Arabidopsis thaliana: one gene and its partners. The protein of the gene in region 1 interacts with the protein of each later gene in a pairwise test. Each region holds a gene or a part of one and is shown in the gene's direction. Other genes may lie near its edges. The genes, in order: AT5G25940, AT1G15900, AT2G23093 and ABCG16.

Region 1 (3,367 bases):
AAAATGTAATTAAGGATCCAAAATAATAATATTTATATTTTATTTGCAACCGAAAATTTTATAGACAACTCGCATTGAAAATGTTCTCAACTTGTTTTTATAGGAGGCAATACTTCTTGCGGTAGGGTTCAATTATATTGGTGCTCAATCAGGGAATTGTCCGATGCCATTTTCCAGTGGAATTTGATAGAAAATTTAAAATTAAGCATCAAAAAGTTGTCTGATGGCATTCATCGGAGTTGTCTTGAATCACCATTTTTCCGTTTCATCTCCTAACGTCTGTTTTTCACTTAAAAAGTCTCCAATTCCAGTATAACTTCGTAAAACTTGTACAAAACAACCGAAAAATACATTAAAAACGAACAAAAATGTGACAAACAACTCAAAACAAACACTAGACAAAGGACATAAGACACTAAAAACACAATATACCACATACAATTTTGGAGACACCCGCACACCGCTCTTCACCTCTTGGACTGTCAGTAACATTATGACATGACTATAGACATTACATTCACTTTCATGAAATTTACAACTACTCTTTGGATTTGGGTTGCAGAAAGATGCATACAGTAAAACAGCTCCATCAACCTCTTATGCTCATGTTTCATGCACATAAGTACTCAATTAGCCATAGGTGGAAGCTTAGACCCTGTTTCGACTTTCGAGTAGCTCGGATATATATGCATTATATCACATATCCCTTAGCACCATATTTTCTAATTTAATTTACAATATCACTCATTGCCACAAGTGTATAAAAACCATAGCAATAGAAGGGTATCAAAGTTCAAGTAACCAATTAAATTAGAACACTAGAAATACATTCTATCATCCAATCTAAGCAATCAAGTTAAATCATTAGAACAATATTGAACTACCGCCGAAGTAAGATCTCGTCTACCGGAGATATTGTCAGATTCTTGCCTCCGTTTTGTATTTGTTGTTTTGATTTGTAAAACTTTGGCTCAAGTCCAATTCAGGTATTATAATATTTTTAAAAAAAGAATATTGAACTATTAATAAAATCTTAACATTTTCTGTTGGTCCCTAGTACTTTTGATGGGCTCTCTATATCTTCGCTTTTGTATGTTTGAAGCATTAAGGCCGAATTCATTTAAAACTCAACTTCTATACCAAAAATTTTATTTTAAATTTTATGTAATTAAAATAAACTAACCAATTTTTTAAAAATTACTATTTTAATCACATATAAAATTAAGTTTTAATTTATCTTTCTATACAAAAATATCATCATTAATGAAATTAACTAATTTATTATATTTTTTTAATCATTTTTTCACTTATAAATTTTATCTAAAACTGAATCGATTAATTTCTTATATCTCTAAAGATATCCGTATGGTAACAAAATTGACTCCAAACATTTCTTAAGTCGATTTCTAAAACCGCTCCAAAAGACCATTGTGCATTAAAAATACTAAAAATCTAAAATTTAAAATATTCTCAATAACAAACATTTACGAACCACTGAATTTTATTTTATTTTAAAAATAATCTATAACATAATAATTGTTTTATCTGTTTTCTAACACAAATTATTCTAAATACATGATTGAAATACATTTCTAAATTGGCGTTTTATAGACTATAGTATTTTGACAACTTTGTTTTCAATATTGGCGTTTCATTATTTTGGTGAAAGATTCCCAACTTATAAAAAAAAAAAACGAATTTTTAATTTTCGTCCTAATCATTTATTTCCTAACCAAAGAAAAAGGCAAATCGCGACCCGTCTCTCTCTCTCTCTCTCTCCTTGAAATCGAAAGATCAAAAAAGCGACACTGAAAATGGAAAATCGGTCAGAAATGGGTAACCGGAGGCAGCAGAATCTCTTCGTCATAGCTTCTCCCGACGAGATTGCTAAGATCCATCGAGCCGAAACTTCCAAACAAGGTCTCTTCTTCTTTCTCCGTCTCTCTCTCTCTTTTTTCCCCTAAAAAAAATCTTTTAAATTGATGACTTTGGATTATGTTACAGCCGGAGCTATTGCCGGAGCTAAGGCCGCCGCCGTTGCCGCCGTCGCCAGTGCGATTCCCACAGTAATCATATAATCTCACTTATCTAAATTTTTTAAATTGAGATCTTAAATGAATTAAATGTAAGAGTTATGTTTCTTTGTTGTTGAATTTTAAGACAAAAGTGACTCACCAATCTCATGTTCTGTAATAATCAAGAGTTTCAATTTTGTTACCTATTCATTTTGTGATTTCTGAATACACCAAGTAGAGTCACATTCTTTTTGATGTGTATATAAGATATGAATTTGGTACATAAGCATGCCTTGTTTTCGTAACAGGTAGCTGCCGTTCGTATGTTCCCGTGGGCTAAGGCAAACCTCAACTACACTGCTCAAGCACTCATTATTTCTTCAGGTTAGCTCTATCAGCAATATGCCTTAAATCATTACTATATGTTCTTCCTGGAACTAAGTAGAAAAAAGATACTAGCTTTAACATTGTTGTAGAAACCTCGAACTTCCCTTTTGAACCTAGTTGAGTTTGGGGTTTTTAAGTATTCGTACATTCATTTCTCCACAATTTTCTTCTGATTTCTATCTTGTGATTATGGTGATCATTGGAACAGCTTCTATCGCTGCGTTCTTCATAACCGCGGATAAAACGATTCTACAAGGCGCAAGAAGAAACACCGAGGCTCAGTTAAAGAAAGTTCAGCAAGACTCTAAATAATTTCTCTTCTTATTGTAACACAAATCAATCATCATCTTTCTCTGTTTTGTATGCATATTTTGCCTTGATTCTTAATAAGAGTGTTATTATTATAAGGAATAACAAATTCTTTAAGACCATTTTTTATTCAGACTTTCAGATTTTGTTCTCAAATAAGTTACAAGCTGGTAGTTATACTCTTAACTAAAACTTTGCTTACACAAAAACTAAATGGTTTCTAATACATTTGTACATTTCACAAAAAAAACAACATCAAGTGTTGTGATTATTTGATTATACAAAACCTAAATCTTCATCTTCTACCCTTTTACTTGTCCTTCGACCCGATAAACTAACTAGTAGAGGTGCCTCATATGCCTCTGTTGCAGTCTTCTTCGTCGCCTCAAGTCCTTGTTGGCGCAGAACATACAAGACCTCTTTCATGGAAGGTCTATGACTAGGCAATGTGTTAGTACACATGAGACCTAGCTTGAAAACTGTTGTCATCGCCTCAGTCGTGGAAGCTTCTTTGATGTCCTCATCAAACGCCTCTGCGGTCGGTTTTCCAGATTGGTAATGTTTCCATGACCAATCTGCTAAGTTTGTGTGTTCATCTCCGTTGTTTCCTTCTCTTCCAGTCACCAGCTCTAGCAAAACTACCCCGAAGCTGTACA
Region 2 (3,095 bases), on another chromosome or scaffold:
ATTCCCACACTTGCAAGAAAAGTAGCAGAAAAATGTTGTGGCTTGCCACTTGCACTCAGTGTCATTGGCAAAGCTATGGCATCTAGAGAGACTGTTCAGGAATGGCAGCATGTGATTCATGTTCTGAACTCGTCTAGCCACGAGTTCCCAAGTATGGAAGAAAAAATTCTTCCTGTTTTGAAGTTCAGTTATGATGATTTAAAAGATGAAAAAGTCAAATTGTGCTTCCTTTATTGTTCCCTGTTTCCGGAAGATTATGAAGTAAGAAAGGAAGAGTTGATAGAATATTGGATGTGTGAAGGATTTATAGATGGGAATGAAGATGAAGATGGAGCTAACAACAAAGGTCATGACATAATTGGCTCGTTAGTTCGTGCACATCTATTGATGGATGGTGAACTAACAACAAAAGTGAAAATGCATGATGTCATACGCGAGATGGCTCTTTGGATAGCGTCGAACTTTGGAAAACAGAAAGAAACACTTTGTGTGAAACCCGGTGTGCAGTTATGCCATATACCAAAGGACATCAATTGGGAAAGTTTGAGAAGGATGTCTTTGATGTGCAATCAGATTGCAAATATATCTTCTAGTTCCAACTCTCCCAACCTCTCAACTCTATTACTCCAGAATAACAAGTTGGTGCATATATCATGTGACTTTTTTAGGTTTATGCCAGCACTCGTGGTCTTGGATCTTTCGAGGAACTCGAGTCTCTCTAGCTTGCCGGAAGCAATTTCTAAGTTAGGTTCCTTGCAATATATCAACTTATCAACAACAGGGATAAAATGGTTGCCAGTTAGTTTTAAGGAGTTGAAGAAATTAATCCATTTGAATCTGGAGTTTACTGATGAACTTGAAAGTATTGTTGGGATAGCTACAAGCCTACCAAACCTGCAAGTGTTGAAATTGTTTTCTTCTCGTGTTTGTATTGATGGCAGTTTAATGGAAGAGTTACTACTCTTGGAGCACTTGAAGGTTTTAACAGCAACTATAAAGGACGCCTTGATTTTGGAAAGTATACAAGGAGTGGACCGATTGGTGAGTAGTATTCAAGCTTTATGTCTCAGAAATATGTCAGCACCGGTTATAATATTGAACACGGTAGCTCTGGGTGGTCTTCAACACCTTGAAATCGTGGGCTCCAAAATCTCAGAGATAAAGATAGATTGGGAAAGAAAAGGAAGAGGGGAGCTTAAATGTACAAGTTCTCCTGGCTTTAAGCACCTCTCTGTTGTTGAAATATTCAATTTGGAAGGTCCAAGGGATTTAACATGGCTGTTGTTTGCTCAAAACCTCAGGCGTCTATCTGTGACGCTGTCATTAACCATAGAAGAGATAATAAACAAGGAGAAAGGAATGAGTATTACCAATGTGCATCCAAATATCGTTGTTCCGTTTGGGAAGCTGGAATTCCTTGAAGTAAGGGGTTTGGATGAGTTAAAGAGAATCTGCTGGAATCCCCCGGCTCTTCCAAACCTGAGACAATTTGATGTACGAAGCTGCCTTAAGCTACCGGAAGCTGCCACTGAGTTTCCGCGACATGCCAATGAATAATGGGAGGACGGTGCTCCGGTGCTAGCTGATGGTTTCTGGCTTATGTACTAGTTTTGGAGAATGAAGCTATCGCAGATCGCAGATGTACTGCTTTTCTATCTCCCTCATTCTTGCTTGATTTGACACTCTCTGTTTGACTATATCCTTTCACTTCTTGATTTGGTTTCTGTTTGTGCACTGCTTTTGTTCCCGATTAACTTGTTTTCAAAGTTTTGAAAGACTATTTCCTTTTTCAGTTTTCACTTGTATTTTGTTTTTGTCTAATAAGTTCAAAAAATTCCAAGTGCGTTATCATTCTCTCTTTACTCTAATCTCTCTGAGTTTATTACTTTAAAAGGTTTCCTAATCTTTGTAACGCGGAAAACCGTTTTTAGCCTTCCAGTAAGAACACTAGATGGAGACGCAATTTCATGGCGGCGATGGAGAAGATCCTTGGCTAGCTCGAGACAAACTATACCATGTAATATTCTGCTTCTCAATCTCTCTTATCTTCTCTACTCTCGCCTCTTTCTCCCGCTACTCCTTTCTACGCCGTCACTCCATCTGGATCGGATCTGCTTTCTCACTCGCCGCCGGTGCGGCTAAAGAAGCTGCCGATCAAATTGGTATCTTCCCTTCCGCAGGTGCTTCCGTTAGAGACGCCGTCGCGGACGCCATTGGAGTTGTGATAGCTGCTTTGGTTCTCCTCCTCTGGAAATCTCGAAGATCACGTACCCGACCCATCCTTCCGATTTGAATCTTCTTTCTTATTGCTGCCGATTCGATTCACAGTAGAAAATATTCCGTTGAAGCTTGTCAGTGTTGTATCCACGGATAATCTCGCAATTTTTATCAAAAGTTTGATCATCACAAAATTTTGGTAATCAGTCTCCTTTGATTTTACTTGTTGAAATGAAAACATGCAACAAACAGTTTATGAGAGTATTGTTGATTCAAGTAAATCAGTTTTGAATAAAACTGTACTCAGATTATTGCTGCTAAAGTATATGATTCATGAAATCTGAAATTTTGAATTAGTTCAGTGTTTAGGCTCAATATCAAATATTCGTTTTCGCCATTTGCTCATTCATTGTGAAGATCAAGGAGAGAAACATTTGGCCTGCTTGAAACATCACATCAAAATTTGAAAACCAACAAAATTGAAAAGATTATGATGTCCAAGACCAAGACCAAAATGAATTTTGGTCAAACATGAGTCAAACATGATTTTTTTTCTTTTTCTTTTTCTTTCATCAATGTGTTTTTAGTCGTTATCTTTAATATTGCTTTTTCCTAACTCTCCTTCTATTGGCGCATTTATTTTTTCTGAATCCTAATTCATTTTTTTTTTGTTCTTAAATTAATTCCAATTTCCAAGTCCTCTTCATCTTTATTGCTTTTTTTATTCCCTAACTCTTGTTTTATTGGCATAGAAATTTTCTTCGGATCCTCCTCACTGTCTCTCTATACTCCACTCTTCATCAAGCGTTGGGTCATCGCCGTCTTCCCTTTCCTTCCCTCTCTAACGTAAGCTCCAGATTTCTTCTATTCTCTGTTTT
Region 3 (4,797 bases), on another chromosome or scaffold:
ACTCACCAATCACCTAAAGTTATTTTGGATTCTAGATAATTCAACATAATGGGCCTTCGGACTTATTATCCATTTAAGGCCCGTTAAAACAAGAACCTTTAACGTTTAAACGACTGAGGTTTTTTTTTTTTTTTTGGTCTGAATAAATCAGTTGACCAACACACAAATATGTTTTCAATCTAAACCAAGAAAAAGATTCTTTTTTGCTAATTGATAACCTGTACAGTTTATCTTATTCAAAGGAATTGAGACACTCACTCATTCATGCAAAATGATAGGATTAATATTATTCAGGGAGTGAGTGGTTTATATTGTTAACTTCTAAAAAAACTAAAACAAAACAGAATTTACAATTAAAAAATTAAAAATAAAGGAAAATTATTTTTTTGTTGTTTTAGGACAGACTCTAGTAAATGTCAATTTTATTAGGTCTCTATAAGCTATAACCTACACGATTTATCTTCTTCAAAAAAAATGAGTCACTCACTCACACAAAATATGACCGCTTTTTATTGATTGCACGAGCTAACTACTACCTTGTCTATTGAGTATAAGAGAGCAAATGATGGTATAGCAATGAACATCGAGATGATACTAAGAAAGATTGTCCGAAGAATCTCGATAGTAGTTCGAGCTATCAAACTTTAGAGGTTTAACTCACACTAACGCTCGTTTAGTAGACAACTCGTCAGTCAATTGATTTCACCCGGCGAATGAGTGGTTTCTATTGTTAACTTCTAGAAGAATTCATTTTGATTTTTTCTAGATGATTCCGTAATTTTGACATCTAACATATGATTTCATCATATTCTTTTCGGCCAAAACATGATTCAGAAATTTTAACATAAATTCAAATTGGGCAAAAAATCAAAATTTGGAAATGATTATTTTGTAATTTCTGTTTTAAATTATTATTGTGTTTTGATGCATATGCTATAAATTTTATCTCAAAATTATGGCTTCTTGAAATCTGGATTTGAGAATCTTGCATATTTCATGTTAAACCTTGAAAAATATGCAACATCATGAATCCTCATTATCCATTAGTTCTCATAAAATCTTATCTATTTTACTGAAATTTCCTAAGTATTTGAAAGAAAAACCTACAAAATCATAATTTTCATCAACATCATGATAATTTGGATTTCGCACCAAATTCGAATTATCTTGAAAATTGAACTCCATAATCTTCTAGTATTTCCATTGGTCTCACAAAATCGTTGTGGCCAAGATAATGTTTTAGGATCGAAGAGTAATTAAAAGAGCGATAAATATTTTCTTAAAAAGATCTAAGAGAGATTCAAATATCTAAAAAATCAATTTTTCATATTTGATATACATCTTTGGCGATTAGTTGCGTTGTGGTGAATTCAAACATCTAGAAACAACCAACGTTAAATCTTTGCTATGAACTTGAATTTTTTTGTTGCACACACATATAAGAAAGAAAAAAAAAAGACTAAAAAACATGTTCAAAAAAATGTGAAAGGCGATGTCAATGGTCAAGAAATATTATACAAAAACAAATTGTAACAAAATTTTGTGTAGCTTACTTCAACTTAAGACTATTTTTTGGGTGGGATAGTTATTGGGCCTTTTGGCCTGATAATAATATTGGGCTTCATTTCTTTTTGTGCACCACTTACATCAGTCAAGATCTCAAATTCTCTCCGACGTAATTGAGTTTTTTTGTTTGTTCTTTTACTTCTTTCTCCGGCTGATTTACCGGTGAATTTTGGATCGATGGGTGTCGTTATTGAGACCTTTATTTGGGAACCAAGCTCAAGCTTCTTCATCTTCTTCTTCGTTTCCACATTTTTATCGATATCTCTGTTTCCTTACTTGGCCAAAAACAGAACTTTTGGTAGCTTTGATCATTCTATTTCCTCTTCTTTCGCTCGGTTCCAGAGATGGTTTCTAGCTATCTACACTCTCTCTTCAGGTACATCATTAGATTTCTTCAGTTGGGTCTACAGATTTTTATCTGTATCTATGGTGCTTTCAATTTCTGGTTTCGAAAGCTTTCAACTTTTGCCTTTTCTCGTCTATCAAAATGGATCCTTTGCTACAATTTGAATTCTTTGATTGGAATGTGGCAGTGATGGAAGGTTTATTGTCAGTGTATGGAGAATTGGAGTTAACAACTTATGGCTTAAGTAAAGAATCAATGGTGTTTTATCTCTGTGTTGGTTATTCGACCGCTCTTGTTCTTGGTCCTGTACTTGGTGTGGTTTCTGATCTCATGTAAGTAGCTTTTAGTAAAATGTTGATCAAAGTGTTTTCATTTTGTGCTAGTAATGATAAATACCGAAACTTTTGTAGAGGTCAGAAGAAAATTTGTCTACTCTATTGTGTCTTGCACCTTATTGTTGGTGTGTGGAAGAGGATTACAATGAGTCCTAGTGCTTGGTTTGCAAATGTTTTTCTCTCCCTTGCTGGTCTTGTATATTCATTTGGGTTTGAGACTTGGCTTGTTGTGGAACATGAAAAGGTATATGGATTGGTCATTGCATTTGAGTTTTTATTATTAGATAATCAATGTTCTGATTTTGTAATGATGTTCTGTGTCTTGTATCTTTGTAGCAAAGTCAGAGGAATGACTCGTTAAATGAGACATTCTGGTTGATGACTTTTCTTGAGTCTGCATCTTTAATTGGAGGTCAAGTTCTTGCAAATTGGCTTGTGGGTGAAAATGTTCAGGATGGGATTGCATTATCTGCTACGGCGTCTCTGCTCTTGTCTGTTGTGACTATTATTTGTATTGTCCAGACTGCAAAAGAGCCGTTGAAGACCCTTCCGTTTAGGGATTATTCCACAGCTTTCTATGCGTATGTTCTTGGTGGTAAGATTTTGTCTTCATCTATTCAGTTAAAATTCCTGAAAGAGTATACGCTAATCTTAGCTTGTTAATGTGATCAGACAAAAGAATATGGTTTCTGGGAACTTCACAAGCCTGTCTTCAGTTTTCCACTGCAGTCTTTTGGATTCTGTGGGCACCAACAATAGTGGTATGATTAAGCTTCCTAATATAATATTTGCAGTTGCTTGAACCAAATTTTATATTTCAGAAATCAAATTAGCAATGATGGTTACTGTCATTTGATGTTTAGGACCTCCAGTGATTCCCTAATTGGCCTTTAGATGATAAAATTATTGGTATTTATTTCTCGACAATGGAATGATTAAAATGAGTTATGTTTGTTTAGGCTGATGGGCGTGAAGTGAATCTGGGATTGATATATCCATGTTTCTTGGGTTCAAGAATGCTTGGGAGTACTGTATTCCCATGGCTAATGAGTGGACAATCATTGCTCCGGCTTGAAGATTGCTTAGTCTACATATACGCACTACTTGGGATAGTGTTTTCTATAGTAGCCTATGATTATCAGGTAACTTATTTGCTTGTTTCACAAAAGTGTACCAGTGAAAAACTTATTTGCTTCATATGGAAGGCCTCACGCATAAAAGACCATATCCTGCAGGAAATCCGAATCTTAGTAGTACTTTTCTGCTTATTTCATGGCTTTGCTGGACTGGCACTTCCTTTGCTTGCAAGATTAAGAACAATGTAATGCTCTTATATATTTTTCCTTATTATTCATCAGAGACATTCTTTGTTAGTAGAAGAACCTTTCTTCTCTGTTGTAACGGACTGTTATCTTTATTTATAGGTATGTACCAAATGAATTGCGTGGAGGGATGATAAGCCTCTCTCAAGTTCCAGCCAATGCAGCTATTTTGTTTTTCTTAATCCAGGTTTGTGCTATCAAAAACACAATTGTTAACCTATTTTGCTTCTGTTTCTGTTACCTTACCGATCTTAATATTGCAGAGAGGCTACTCTAACAAGATCGAGAACTCAACAATGATGGCTCTTGGTGCCATTTCTTTATTCACTGCATCTGGTTGTATATATATGTTGAGACGATGGGGAAAGTCACCACACCATGATTGGCACAAATTATGATCCTGAGTAACTCGTGGTCTCTGGTTATGATACTTATGCGGAAGCAGGACAAGGCAAAACGAAGATAAATCTACTGGAAACTCAAGTTGGTCTATGATCTTGTGTTAATGGTCTCGCTTCGATTTTGTAGCAGCATGAAGTGAGGAAACACAAAACCTTGGAAGTTCAAAGATGCAATGAAAGCAGTATAAGAGGTTTGATTATTAGTTTAAGAGGATTCTATTATTTTAAATGATTGTTTGATTCATGTCTTATTAAGATCATCTCCTTTGGACCTTTTAGGCATTATTGTTTTACTAGTAAATATGAATGAAATTTTTACAAGTTACAAGTCAAATCTGAATTATCTTCAATCATATGTTTGGTCTCTTATCCATTTGGTGGCAACCCATTTCTCACCCTTGATAACAGGACAGCTTCCATGTAGAGATGTCTGCAACAACAAACCCAAAATTCTGAGAAAGATCAAACATTTTATGTCTTAAATGAGGTTTTTGATTGTCAGGAACACTAACTTGATCGATCGTTCCATTTGGAAACAAATTGTAGAAGAAAATGGCGTCTCCTTGTCGCGGCTTTACTTTCAGACCAACACACTTCTCATAATCATATCTTCCATTCATATTTCTCCCATTCTGCTTCCACAAAACCATTCTGTTTTACAACTCAAAATCCCAACCATGTTAAATCGAAAGAAAGAAACAATGATTACCTCGAATGGGAACATCGTCTCTCCACCTTCTTCGACACTCGATAAGAACAATAGGAAAGTCACGACCTGCATTCATATGTTGAGCCATGAGTGGAGGATCAACAGATGGTAGTTTTGA
Region 4 (5,287 bases), on another chromosome or scaffold:
ATCTCTTCGCACTTTCCATAGGCTTTGCAGCGACCACGTTCTGGTTCGTTGGTCTAAACGGTGGTCTGGCAGGTTTTATCTACTATCTTATGATCATCTTCGCGTCCTTCTGGTCAGGATGCTCGTTTGTTACATTTGTCTCCGGTGTGATTCCAAACGTGATGATGAGTTACATGGTCACCTTTGGCTATCTCTCATACTGCCTCCTCTTCAGCGGATTCTACGTCAACCGTGATCGAATCCATCTTTATTGGATATGGATTCATTACATTTCTCTGCTAAAGTATCCCTACGAAGCTGTTCTGCACAACGAATTCGATGATCCCTCCCGTTGTTTCGTGAGAGGAAACCAAGTGTTTGATAATACAATAATGGAAGGAGTATCTGAAACGACAAAGGCTAAGCTTCTGGAGACAATGAGCGGTTACTTGGGGATGGAGTTAACGGAATCAACGTGTTTGACGACGGGCTCTGATTTGCTTAAGCAGCATGGAATTGAGCAGCTGGATAAATGGGGTTGCTTGTGGGTAACGTTAGCTTGGGGATTCTTCTTTAGGATCTTGTTTTATTTTTCGTTGTTGCTTGGAAGCAAGAATAAGAGGGCGTGAACGCCATAATGTAAATTTTTCCGAAACAGAAATTTTATTGTGAAAGCAAAATTGTCTTTTTGAATTTGAGATATTGATGATATATGTTGTATAATTATTATTTTTTTCTTTCATAGCTATCATATATTGTCTAAAGAAAGAATCGTACATCTAACATTTTACATGATGTTAGGTTCACAATTTTATAAAGGACTAAGATTTTAGTTTAATTCACAATTGGTAATGTTTTTAACTTAACAATATGAACTACATCAATAGTTTAAAGTTCAAACTAATATAAAGATACCACAAGCTACCAGTGAAGTAATTTAGTAGTTTTAATGTGCGTGTGAGCTATATGCCATCTTTCGTGGTCGGTGTAAACATAACGTATTTGACAAAATTCAAATTGCATCACTTTTTAAAAACAAAAGTATATACAACTAAACAGTTGGTCGAAAATAGAATTCAAAGTAGCCAACTTTCTTATAAGCTTTATTAGATGGTATTATAAATCTTTGACCCTTTTCTTATGGCGGTAAGGAAGACTACAGTAGGTAGAAGTTAGTCACCTAAACTTCAAAATGTCAACCAAAAAGATGTAACAGTGAAGTCAAAGTTTAGGATTGGAAATCCAAGAAGCTAAGCCAGTACGTCAATTTTGCTTTCATGTTACCATTGTGTCCATCACTAGAAGTTTGACCAAGTACTACTTAAGAGGAAGTTGCCTAACCTTTTGATCTGTTTCTTCTTTCCCTGGATGGATCAAAGACATCACTATTTTTACTTTCTTAACAAATAGTATTTGAAATGTGACACCATCTTTATGATTCTCGTGTAATTTTCGCATGCATGTTTAATTTTAGCAACAAACTTGACGATTTTTATTATATTTCTCTTAAACCACCACTCCACCCTTTACAAAACAAAAAGAATGTTTTATCAGCTTCTGTATACTGTGAATAAAACAGAGGAAACAAAGACCAAACACAATATTTGAGTTTGGTAAAGAATGTTCCACCGTTACCAACTAAATAATCAAGAAATAGAAAAAATGAACTTGGAGATTGTGTGTAGTCTTTCATAGCAAAAACAGGAGTTTATATTCCCAAACTAAATACAAATCTAGCTACTTTATCAAATATAACTTTTATATTATATTTGGTAGAATTAGTTGGGGTTCCGGAATTATTGCAATTTGCAACTTTTAGGCAGTTAGCAGCATAAGCAATCGTCTTCGGTCGCGAAAACAAAAGAAAATGTGAATAGTTTATCTAGGTACACATTTGCTTGCGATACAAACAATCACTATATCGCTACCAACATTCGAAGAATCTTTTAAAAACATTAATTAATTGACCAAACACTATGTGAAACGCAAGAAATATCTCATCTCAATCCTATATACTATCTATACCTCGGTTAGATCAACACCCTTCACCTAATTCTCCATTCTAATCGCCACGTGTCAGCCATTTCTACGTATTTTAGTATTATCACCTTGGAAAATCTAGATTTATTGGTCATCCCATTACCTCTCCCTAATTGAATACGAGAAATCCAAAACGCATTTTCCATCCAAACGCTAAGAATATTATTGTTAACAACACAAACCTAACAGATTTCTCATGATGATGCAACTCATTCAACACATAGAACCTTCGTGTTCACACGCTTCCACACGTTACTTCATATATATAAGGCCTATACACAGATACTAGCAAAACAGAGAACAAAGACTAACATTTTGATCATGCAAAGAGTGTTTTGATTTTCAAGTGTAAGCACATCATTTCTCACTTTACCATCTTTTGTTCTAAATGTCTCGCATACTAGTAGAAGATGATAATGCAACACCGTTTCATTCCATGGAGATTATTAGCTCATCTTTGACTTTAGGCCAACTTCTCAAGAACGTTAGCGACGTTCGTAAGGTTGAAGTTGGTGACGAAACTCCTGTTCATGAATTCTTTGACAGGGATGGTTCTTCACTTGACGGAGATAATGATCATCTTATGCGTCCTGTTCCTTTCGTTCTATCTTTCAACAACCTTACTTACAACGTCTCTGTTCGCCGGAAACTTGACTTTCACGACCTGGTTCCATGGAGGAGGACATCTTTCTCCAAGACCAAGACTCTTCTAGACAATATCTCCGGTGAGACTCGTGACGGAGAGATTCTTGCCGTTCTTGGAGCTAGCGGGTCAGGTAAATCCACTTTGATCGACGCTTTAGCGAATCGGATCGCTAAAGGAAGCTTGAAGGGCACGGTAACGCTTAACGGAGAAGCTCTTCAATCTCGGATGCTGAAAGTTATCTCAGCTTATGTAATGCAAGACGATCTTCTCTTCCCGATGCTTACTGTGGAAGAAACCTTAATGTTTGCAGCTGAGTTTCGATTACCAAGAAGCTTACCTAAATCCAAGAAGAAGCTTCGAGTTCAAGCCCTAATCGACCAGTTAGGGATAAGAAACGCTGCTAAAACAATCATTGGAGACGAAGGACACCGTGGAATCTCCGGTGGAGAAAGAAGGCGAGTTTCGATCGGAATCGATATCATCCACGACCCGATTGTTCTCTTCCTCGACGAACCTACTTCTGGTTTAGATTCCACAAGTGCTTTCATGGTGGTTAAAGTATTGAAGAGAATCGCAGAGAGTGGCAGTATCATTATAATGTCAATACATCAGCCAAGTCACAGAGTTCTCAGTTTACTTGATCGTCTTATCTTCTTGTCACGTGGACACACCGTCTTTAGTGGTTCTCCGGCGAGTCTACCGAGCTTTTTCGCCGGGTTCGGTAATCCGATACCGGAAAACGAGAATCAAACGGAGTTTGCACTCGATCTAATCAGAGAACTCGAAGGATCAGCTGGAGGAACAAGAGGATTAGTTGAATTCAACAAGAAATGGCAAGAGATGAAGAAACAGAGCAATCCTCAAACCCTAACTCCGCCGGCTTCTCCAAACCCAAATTTAACCTTGAAAGAAGCGATTTCCGCCAGCATAAGCAGAGGAAAACTAGTCTCCGGTGGCGGCGGTGGTTCCTCCGTCATAAACCACGGTGGCGGAACCTTAGCCGTCCCTGCATTCGCGAATCCGTTCTGGATCGAAATCAAAACTCTCACCAGACGCTCAATCCTCAACTCCCGACGACAACCGGAGCTACTCGGAATGCGATTAGCCACCGTAATCGTCACCGGATTCATCTTAGCCACCGTATTCTGGCGATTGGATAATTCACCAAAAGGAGTTCAAGAGCGGTTAGGGTTCTTCGCATTCGCAATGTCAACAATGTTCTACACTTGCGCCGATGCTCTTCCCGTGTTCCTCCAGGAACGTTACATCTTCATGAGAGAAACAGCTTACAACGCTTACCGGAGATCCTCCTACGTTCTCTCTCACGCCATTGTTACCTTCCCTTCGCTCATCTTCCTCTCTTTAGCTTTCGCAGTGACGACGTTTTGGGCTGTTGGGCTTGAAGGAGGCCTAATGGGCTTTTTATTCTACTGCTTAATCATCTTAGCCTCTTTCTGGTCCGGAAGCTCCTTCGTGACTTTCTTATCCGGCGTCGTTCCACATGTGATGTTAGGCTACACGATCGTTGTTGCTATTTTAGCTTACTTCTTGCTTTTCAGTGGCTTCTTCATCAACAGAGATCGAATCCCTCAGTATTGGATTTGGTTTCATTATCTTTCTCTGGTTAAGTATCCATACGAGGCGGTTCTTCAGAACGAGTTCTCGGATCCTACAGAATGTTTTGTGAGAGGTGTTCAGCTTTTCGACAACTCGCCTTTGGGAGAATTGACGTATGGGATGAAGCTGAGGCTTTTGGATTCTGTGAGCCGGTCGATAGGTATGAGGATATCGAGCTCTACGTGTTTAACGACGGGTGCTGATGTTCTGAAGCAGCAAGGAGTGACACAGCTTAGTAAATGGAACTGCTTGCTTATCACGGTAGGTTTCGGATTCCTATTTAGGATTTTGTTTTACTTGTGTTTGTTGCTTGGGAGCAAAAACAAGAGGAGGTGAAACTGAAACTACTGATGATACCTAAAACCAAAAACATATATTGTAATTCTTTTTCATTACTTGTAATTCGTAGATTGATTGTGTATTTGAATTGTATTCTTTTTAACATTTGTATTACTTTTGCCATCAATAAAAAAAATATCATTCTTTAGGAAATTGGAAATACAAAAAGCACCTATGAATCGCTTTTACTCAGAAAATTAATGCAACATTTCAAATAGAGGCATTGAGATTGTGGAAGAAAAATGAGGAGACACAGACACTGTTGCTAGAGGCAAGTAACTCTCAAAGCCATTTCACTTTGTAAGGTATCAAAAAGTCAAAATTGGAAGGCTATCTACAAAATCAATTAAAAACAAACCGATTTATCTGAAATTTAAAACCGAAACAAACCGGACCGAATCAGCATCAGAATATCGTCTGGTCCTGGCCGCTCTGCTCTAGCCGCAGTCGAAACACGAGTCCATAATACGAGCGGTGGTTGCTCACGCGCCATCCAGTTTGGCTGGAGATGCTATTCTGCATTTCGACAGTGAAGCTTTTCGGGTTTCAACAAAGGCGCAATGTTAGCTCTTTAGCCAAGCGTTTCAGTCTCGCCGGGAAACTAACGTTAGAGCTCCAAACTCAGGTTTGATTTGTGAAAGATTGAGACTTTCGTGAAATTTGTGA

What was found.
Region 2: the proteins of AT5G25940 (region 1) and AT1G15900 interact in a protein complementation assay, tested with the Arabidopsis thaliana proteins (one large-scale study listed by BioGRID).
Region 3: the proteins of AT5G25940 (region 1) and AT2G23093 interact in a protein complementation assay, tested with the Arabidopsis thaliana proteins (one large-scale study listed by BioGRID).
Region 4: the proteins of AT5G25940 (region 1) and ABCG16 interact in a protein complementation assay, tested with the Arabidopsis thaliana proteins (one large-scale study listed by BioGRID).

The regions. Positions count from the first base shown.
Region 1 is NC_003076.8:9,053,599-9,056,965, reverse strand, and holds AT5G25940 (early nodulin-like protein), read left to right. Parts: upstream 1-1,710; 5' UTR 1,711-1,814; coding exon 1,815-1,920; intron 1,921-2,004; coding exon 2,005-2,066; intron 2,067-2,323; coding exon 2,324-2,399; exon of another isoform or gene 2,400-2,610; coding exon 2,611-2,714; 3' UTR 2,715-2,844; downstream 2,845-3,367. Other genes in the region: AT5G25930 (kinase family with leucine-rich repeat domain-containing protein), read right to left, coding at 2,988-3,367.
Region 2 is NC_003070.9:5,462,405-5,465,499, forward strand, and holds AT1G15900 (uncharacterized protein), read left to right. Parts: upstream 1-1,868; 5' UTR 1,869-1,951; coding exon 1,952-2,293; 3' UTR 2,294-2,543; downstream 2,544-3,095. Other genes in the region: AT1G15890 (Disease resistance protein (CC-NBS-LRR class) family), read left to right, coding at 1-1,557.
Region 3 is NC_003071.7:9,830,450-9,835,246, forward strand, and holds AT2G23093 (Major facilitator superfamily protein), read left to right. Parts: upstream 1-1,582; 5' UTR 1,583-1,743; coding exon 1,744-1,942; intron 1,943-2,099; coding exon 2,100-2,244; intron 2,245-2,322; coding exon 2,323-2,491; intron 2,492-2,583; coding exon 2,584-2,842; intron 2,843-2,919; coding exon 2,920-3,008; intron 3,009-3,206; coding exon 3,207-3,389; intron 3,390-3,482; coding exon 3,483-3,568; intron 3,569-3,671; coding exon 3,672-3,756; intron 3,757-3,832; coding exon 3,833-3,967; 3' UTR 3,968-4,290; downstream 4,291-4,797. Other genes in the region: P4H13 (2-oxoglutarate (2OG) and Fe(II)-dependent oxygenase superfamily protein), read right to left, coding at 4,317-4,400, 4,483-4,602, 4,680-4,745.
Region 4 is NC_003074.8:20,415,673-20,420,959, reverse strand, and holds ABCG16 (ABC-2 type transporter family protein), read left to right. Parts: upstream 1-2,049; 5' UTR 2,050-2,407; coding exon 2,408-4,618; 3' UTR 4,619-4,777; downstream 4,778-5,287. Other genes in the region: ABCG17 (ABC-2 type transporter family protein), read left to right, coding at 1-608; AT3G55080 (SET domain-containing protein), read left to right, coding at 5,130-5,246.